2 linked regions of the Kluyveromyces lactis genome follow. The protein of the gene in region 2 interacts with the protein of the main gene of each other region in a pairwise test. Links are inferred from orthologs where the notes say so. Each region holds a gene or a part of one and is shown on either strand. Other genes may lie near its edges.

The links.
Region 1: the proteins of SEC16 (region 2) and SEC31 interact in binary tests that used the Saccharomyces cerevisiae proteins (3 or more experiments, as listed by UniProt). The link is inferred for Kluyveromyces lactis from reciprocal best matches to the Saccharomyces cerevisiae genes SEC16 and SEC31.

Annotation. Positions count from the first base shown.
Region 1 is NC_006042.1:504,608-508,867, reverse strand, and holds the start of SEC31 (Sec31p), read right to left. Parts: upstream 2,862-4,260; coding exon 1-2,861. Other genes in the region: COA4 (Coa4p), read left to right, coding at 3,647-3,901; SCM3 (Scm3p), read left to right, coding at 4,174-4,260. UniProt on the Saccharomyces cerevisiae protein: Component of the coat protein complex II (COPII) which promotes the formation of transport vesicles from the endoplasmic reticulum (ER).
Region 2 is NC_006041.1:2,123,976-2,128,080, forward strand, and holds the end of SEC16 (COPII coat assembly protein SEC16), read right to left. Parts: coding exon 647-4,105; downstream 1-646. Other genes in the region: MBA1 (Mba1p), read left to right, coding at 1-436. UniProt on the Saccharomyces cerevisiae protein: Involved in the initiation of assembly of the COPII coat required for the formation of transport vesicles from the endoplasmic reticulum (ER) and the selection of cargo molecules. Also involved in autophagy.

The DNA.
Region 1 (4,260 bases), on a different chromosome or scaffold from region 2:
TTAGGCGGTGGTGGTGGGAGCGTTGAGTTTGTAGATGCTCTCGAAAGTGGAACCGCTGCAAGATCGGGGGTACCATACGATGGAGTTGACATGCCAATTGGAGCTGTGTTGACAGCCTTGGCACGGGTTGGTTTTTCTTTGCTTACTGATGGGAGATCATTCCAACCGTCGATTGGTTTATCATGTAGATGAGGCGTTTGACCAGAATATCCACTAGCACCGGAAATTGGTGGCGGAGCGACTGGAGAGCCAAGTGGTACAGGCGCTGCCACAGGTAGTGGGGCATATGGGTTAGGTGGGATACTTGTAGCAGTTTGTGCATATGGGTTCACTGGTGGCGTGTAAGATGGTCTGGAACCCACAACAGATAGAGGAATTTGCTGATTTACCGCAGCCGGAGCATATGGATTGGGTGTTGGAATTGCAGAAGTTGTCTGTGGAACGAAGCTTGGCTTTCTTGGGACGACATTTGGAGCAGTTGAGGCAGGAGGCTGATGAGGAGCAGCCAAAGGATTTGGGGGAGGAATTCCAGAGTTTGATAAACGAGGCGCACCATTGGCAGTTGGTACGGAAGTTGAACCGTATCTTCCTTGTCTGGATTGTAGGGTACTGTTTGCTGTCCTTTCTGTTGACCTAGTAGTACTTGTTTTACCGGAGGCAATCAGCACACGTTGCTTTTCACTTTTAACCTCTTCGTTATCGTCCGGTAAAGTTTCCAAAAATCTTAATGAAAGCTCGAAATCGCCATTGGCAGCTGTGACATTGACGAATTCCAAAAACTTTGAGATTAGCGTTTGATTAGTTAATTTAACAGTACCTTTGTCAAGGTAGTCAGATAACACGGTGAACCTTTCCACAAATTCAGTTAAACATTCCAGATGGGCCTCGTATAAGGTGTCCTTTTGAGACGTCAATTGATTTTCAAGTTCAGGGAATTCTTTCAGCCAAATTGACGCAATGCTTTCCAAGGACTGGCCGCTCAAATATAATAAAATAGCATCTTTTCTGTTTCCCTCGTGTAGTAATCTATCACCTAATTTTACTAAAAGTGAATTTTTCTTTGAGATATCTTCCTTGGTGTAGTTGAAAATGAACTGAACAGCATCTTTCCATTGAGAAACATCGATGTTTGTAACAATATCTTCAACATCGCGTTGAGCAACAGAGAATAAAGTTCTTGCCAACCCAGATTGCTCAGAATGCTTGGAAAAGTAGGCGTTCTTCGCTTTATCCGCCAACAAGGCATCATTGGAAGTAATAGCGATCACCAAAGCCTCTAATAACAAGTCCTTCTCTAAAGCCTGATTTAAAGCAGATTTCAAATCACCTTTGATCAAAAAGTTAGTGAGTGGTTTCATTGATTCAGAAAAATCAAGCTTGAAAGCGCCTTCGGGAACGAATTTGTCGTTTAGTTGGTTGAAGAAGTCAGCACCATCTTCTTCTGACTTTTTGATGATGTCTTCTTTGGCATCATCTAATGATAATGCATCTTTCAAGTAAAGTGCAGTTCCATCCATAGATAGATTCTCTAGTAAATTCCAGTCATCTTCGTTTGTTGCGTTGATCTTTTGTGATAATCTCTTATTGATCAATTTCACGAAGTCCTTGGATTTCAAGGACTCATCGAAAAGCTGATTCTTTTCCAGTCCAGAAATACAAGGTTTTACTACACTGACACCTTTACCATCATCGGATATTCTAACCAGCTTACCACCGAATGCCCATTGAGCGGCAGGAGATTTGTTGCCGTACCATTTTGGGGCTTGGATCTTGACAGTGTTAGGTTTGTCATCAACTGAGTTGGAGGTTACATTGTTCCAGAATTCATCCTCAGAAGCATGTTGCTTACTCTCATTTGCCTGAGCATCCAAGGTATTGCTCAAATTTTGCAACGTTTGAACGACGATCTTACTATCAAAGGATGCGGATGCAAATAAATCTGGAGCTTCAGGAGCAAATTTGGATTTAAAGACCCAGTTACCACGTGGAGCGAACTGAGTTAAGATGGAGCCTTCTTGCGGATTCCATAACACCGAAGTGTTATCACGACCACTGGATAACAATAGATTTTCATCTTGTTTGCACCAATCCAACGATAAAACACCCTTTGAATGTCCTTGTGATAGCACTTTCAATGGTACATGAGCATTTCTTAGATCCCACGTTAGGACAAGAGGTTCTGTATCTGAGCTAGAGGCGGTTGCAATAATGGTAGAGCTGGTTGGATGCCAGTCAACAACCGTCAATGGGACCTTAATACCAGTGGTAGAGGAACTGTGGTTCAAATGCAAAACTTGTTTCTTTGCCTTTAAATCCCACACAGATGCATACCCTGAAGAACTGGCTGATGCAAACACATGTGCCAACGATTGGTTCCATGACAACGAGGAAACTTCATCGATTGGAGTATTACTGATACCAGCCGAAAAAGGAGAATAATCTGAAGATCCGATCTTGTTTGAATCCCAAACAAAGATTTCACCTTGAGTGCCACCAGAGACAAGAACATTGTTCTGTTTGGCATTGAACTTCAATGTCTTGACAGGACCCTGATGTTTATGGATCTTAGCAACAGATTTCAAGGCTTTTGGATCGAAAAACTCAACAACACCATTTTCTAAGGCACCAGCAATTATTTTGTCATCGCCCGACCAATCCAAATCGTTGAACTTACCGTCAGCGACAACAGATCCACTAGGTTTAGACCCATCAAAAGACAATAGCGACCATAGTTCTAATGTCGAAGTACTTGAAAAATCAGCATCAATGGCTCCAGATGCAGGACCAGTCGCCAAAACTGGCACCCTATCGTGAGACCATGAAAACGTAGCCGTACGCGGATACTCAGCTAGCTTCACCATTGCTTCAAGTTATCACACGGGTATTAGCTAATATTGATGCGCAAACTCAATGCTACGTGTAACACTGTTTAGCCACCTTTTATTCTTCTGAAAAAGATCAGAACAAGCTGTTGTTTTCCTAAAATTCGGTTTACATATTTTGAATCTTCAATTTCTTTGGTTTCTTCAGTTCCCATCATTTATAAAAACTTCAGCAAATTATTTTTTTGCAGTCGAGATCTGGCCCAAAATTAGGCGAGACACCATCCAAAGGGACAACAACATGGACAATGTATACTCGAAAAGGGATCTTACTACCTATGTTACTGTACAATTATTGAGTTTATAGTAGGTATCCCGCACTAAGTACTGAATATGTTGTGTGCCTGGAGATTGCATAATCTTGAAAGCATTTATATCACGTGATCTCCCGGTGCAATTACGCCAACGCAAACCGCAGCCTGGTCGTTTATTACATAGATCAATAGTGTTGTATTGCAGTTTGGGGATCTCTGACGTTTTTTAACACAGCTTTCTTTTCTTATATTAATAGTCATTAAACCTTTTGTAGCTCAATCAAGCTTTTGGAACGGAAAATTAGTTCAGTGGCCATAAAGAACAATCGAGAGCAAGGTTTAATTGGAAAAGTAAAAACACTGAAGTATAAATGGTTAATTTAGTAGAATACAATACAATAAGTGCAATAGTACATGCAACAGTTAATCTTGAAACGACTATCACAGTCTACAGTGATACGTTGACCGAGTCAATAGCAATTATTCTGTCGTAGCTTCATACTTTCAATTATGTCTGCAGGAGAATCAAAATACTACAAGGAAGCATTAGCGGAGTATCAGGATATGGATAAAGAAGATCCTGATGCCTGGGACAAGAGAATATCGAACACAGGCTGTTACGTAGAGAATCTAGCTTTACAACTTTGCCATGCAGAGACTAATGATTGGAGACAGTGTCTTGGTGAAATGAAACTGTTCAAAGATTGTTGGCAATCCAAGGGTAATGACCAGAGAGTGGGGACAGTCGATGCAAAAGAACATTGAGATTTGCATTTACAGGTGTAAAAAGATCCTTCACTGTGAAGCTTTGTCGAAATACTCCACATATTGTATATAGACCCATTTAATTGTATATGCGAATACCCATCTGAATATTTTTAGTCTACGCAGCGCAACATTTAAATTGACATATTTTAGTTAAGGATAATGAATAATCGTTTCAATACAACATTTACACCAGAACATAACGAAATTTAACCAGTTCCCGGACCATAGGTGAAGTTTCCAAGTAGAATTACAGCAATAGTGCTTTATTGATGATTAAAAGACCATCAAATAGTAAGAAGAAGGCTAATCTTCGAAGATTGACAGGTGCATTAAGGGATTTGCTAGGCGAAGAGGAG
Region 2 (4,105 bases):
CAAACCTCAAGTGTCCATATGGGTTGACGAGGCTTTGACAGCGAGAGCCAAACAAATCCCATCGAACATTACCTTGGACTGGGAATTGATTAAATTCAATGAAGTTCCAAAGTTAGTTTCCACACAAGCCATGATGATTCCCGGTCGTCCAGTTGAATTAATTCAATTGATTTATAAGTTTGATACCAAACAAAGGTTAATTAAGTTCGACAAGAAGAAAAGTAAAACTGATAAACTGGACAGAGATGTTATTGACTATATCGCTTTCCTTTGCGATGCAAGCACAAATGATATTCTATTAACTGGTTCTGTTTTTGAGAGTGCACCAGACGCGAAATTGCCAAAAGATAGCGAAACTTCGAACCAAATTGTAATCGAAAGAATGAAAGTTAACGGAGACTTGTTCAGAGTTCAACCACCTGTTAAAAAAGACTGATAAAAGTATATCTTAGTAATTAAAAGGCCTCGCTTTACGATACTACCTTGTAAATACCAATGTAAAAGATGATCATTAATGACTATATTTATTTATTTTCAGTAAATTCATAGACGTCGAAGTACACTAGGTTCATTTAACGCTATATGCAATACACTTGAGAACAATTTCGAAATTCAATTATCGGAAGAACTAGTTAACAAAGTGATGTTATAAATTTTCCATAACATTAACGTAACCTCTAGTCGATTTCTTTTTCCTTCTCGTCGACGATGCGCTGCTAACGCCTCCAGTCAATGCCATTAAATCATCTAGACCGTTTGCTTTTGACCCAGATAAGTTGACATTAGTATTCGAAACAGGTGGTTTCGAAGATACGGGTGATTCCGACTTTGTCTCTGCATCATCGGAGAAGTCTTTCACAGGATCAAGCGGTTTGCCGGTCAAAGGATTGGTGGGCATAACTGCGTGTGCAGTCCGTAACGCTGGACCTCCCACAACTGAACCTTGACGGGGTTTTATTTCAGGCGTTTTTGACATCTTACGCTTTACGACAGGAGGTGGTGGAGGTGGAGTCGCCACTTTCAATTTCTCTTCCTCAGTAGCATCCTTATTAACCCATCTTTTCAGGTTTTCGTCATAGTAAAAGTTATTCGCGTGTCCTAGTTTGGCCTTAATAGGTTTTTTCTCGTTAGAATCCTTCTTAAACCAGCCTAACCAACCTCCTGATGATTCGTTCTTCTGCTTCTTATCAGGTTTCCCGGCTTCATCCTCGCTCACAGTTTTAACTTCATCTTCATCTTCATCATTTTTCACTTTCTGGTTTTGATTTTCCGAGTTTCTTTCGGATATTTCCCTTTTTACTGAAATAGGTTCGTCTTCATCTTCGTCTTCTGTGTCTTCGACCAAGTCATCATAGTACTCTTCGGTATTAGTATCACTGACAATGAATGGTACGAAATTTGAGGTTTGAACCGGTCTGATTACAGGATCTTTGATTTTTGAAGAAGGCAATGTTTGTGAATCGTTCTGCAAGTGTGCCGGTAATCCAATAGATTTAACAGAAATCAAATTTTCTCCGAGACCAATATTAGAAGGAACAAAAGAATTTAGAGGTGGTGAGGACGTTTTGTTTTCAATTTCTTGTTTCTGTCCGTTTGGAGAATCAATAGTTTGCGGTTTGGCATCTTCACCGGACAGTTTATAGCTTCCATACGCATACATCGCAAGATCTTCTGGGCCACCTGTCTCATTAACTGGAGCACTATTATTATCATTGTTATAAGGCGAAGTTGAGGTTTGAGGCAGGGATGCCATAGAATGACTTTCCGTAATAGAAGAAGGTGAATACGGATTGTATGATTTTCTTGCAGTGCGTGGAGCAACACCGAAGCTATTCTTAGGTGCGTAAGGGTTCGCAGGTTCTGCTTTGTCTACACTCATATTTTTCAAAGAAGAAGGTTTAGAAGAAATAGAAGAGGCCGGGGAAAAAGAGTTGAGCGGTTGAGCTTGCGTGACGGGAACATTAATATCGGTTACTTGATTTTTGTCCTCTTCTTGCAAGTTTTCTGCAACAGGTAACTGATTGGTGACGTTTAACTGAGAAACAGACCCTTCAACGCCAGAGATCGAATTTTGTTCGGTACTCTCGAAATTGTTATCGTCTGAAAACTCTGAGTGCTGTAATTCATCTAATTCTGCATCAATTTCATTCCCAATCTCTTCCACAATGTCATCAACTACCGAATGTTGTTCATTTTCATGGAAACGAGGTGGCGCATTACTCCCAGTTTGGGTAGATTCAGTGGTTAAACCCGAGGTGACTGTATCATCGAATAGATTTTCTAACGGTAGTGCCTTATTGGAAGTAGATGATTGATGCTTCGTTGATTGTGGAGAGACTATTGGGGAAGGAACGCAGAATGAAGCAGTATTTTGGTTTGGCACACCCATCTTACTATAGAGTCTGTGGCCAGAAGAGACTGAAGAATTGCCATCTGATAAATCGTGATGGATTTGATATCCAGGGTATACTTGAGCTAAAGGTGGCAGTACAGGTTCAGGTGTAGAGTTGGAATTTGGCAGTTCTTTTTGTCCGAGAGAGGTTGCACCAGAGGGATTAACATAGTTATCAGGCTCTTCAAAGTGTGATGGATGTACAGTGTTACGAGCAGATGCAGTGGAGTTCAAAGGTTCTATATTAGAATGGCTGCCATAGAGCTCCCCAATTTTAGACTGAGGTTTCATATCACGTAGTGGTGGTGGACCGTATTTAGAATGAGTTTCTCTACTAGGTAATGATGAGGCCGGTAGGATTTTCGTAGTTGATTTAATGAGCGAGCTGTTATTGGACTGTAGCTGATTGATATGTGAGCGATTCAACGCAGGAGTCAAATAGGATGCTGCTTGTGATAAATCTGCCATGGATGGGTTTCTCGAAGAAGTTGGTGTAAACTTCTCAAAGACCTTGTCTTCAATTGCTGCTGTTTCTGACTCATCAATGTCTGTGTCACCTCCGATAAACTTGTTGAAGGATTTGTCAAGCTGTCCCCATACGCTGCTTAATTTTGGCTTCCCTAACCAGCCTACATTACTAGACGATAGTTGATTACTCAAATCTTCAATATAGCGTAATGTTTTCAAGGTAGTCTCTGAGTTCTTAGGAAGTGATTTTAGCATACTTTGGGCCATATCCATGTATTTTGTTGACGAACTGTTCAAACCGTAGTCACTTAAACCAGCTGCATGAATTATCTTCTGCGGTATCAATGACGTGAATCCGGAGAATGATGGATCTTTCTGACCGTACGTAAATTCGTATATTTCCGATAAGATCAAACTTTCAAATGAGTTTGGGCAGCAAATGTATTCGAATGTTGTAGAAGAAAACGGAATCAAAGGCTCTTCGGACATTGGAATATCGGCAACGATAAAAGCGATGGAACCAGCAATGACAAGACCTCTGCTGACCAAAAGCTCTCCGAATTGAAGCAAAAATTCCACCACAATAGGGGAAAGTTTTCCATTCGCAGGCACCTCCTCACAATTGTTTAGAATACATGCAATCAATAACTTCCAGTTATTTAGAGACCACTCTAGTTTCGTGGGATCTTGTTTAAAAGAATCTATCACCTTTTTAGAATTGCCAATGAAAACCTGGAAAATTGTAGCCAATAAATTAATAGAAGAGATGTCTCGTTCGTTGCTTTGCTCAAATTCTTGTGTCAAATACTGGTCCACAACTGACGACCATTTTTCCTTTCCTAGGATACTACCCAATAGTAATGCCATAGCATAATCTTTTAAAGCTAGAGAAAGATTTAAAGCATCGTCATGTGCGCCTGTTTGCAATAACGTTAAAACTCTAATCAAAGAATTGGCATCGAGTTTGTGAGCATTCGGGGCAGCAACCTTTGGAATGAACGGCTGAGACAAATAAGGAAGCAATATACTGGAATCGTAAATTATATTTGTCACAGCTTTTAAACTGTAGGATGGATCCAAACGCAGTTTTAAGAGCTCAAGCAAAATACAGGTATCATTCGCACCCTTTAGTTTCTTCTCTTCAATATAAGTATCTAGCCACTTAGCAATATCTTTGGATTTTGATTTTCCCTTGATTAGCGGACCCGGAAACTGTTCAAGAGTCTTGTCAAGAGTCAAAATGGA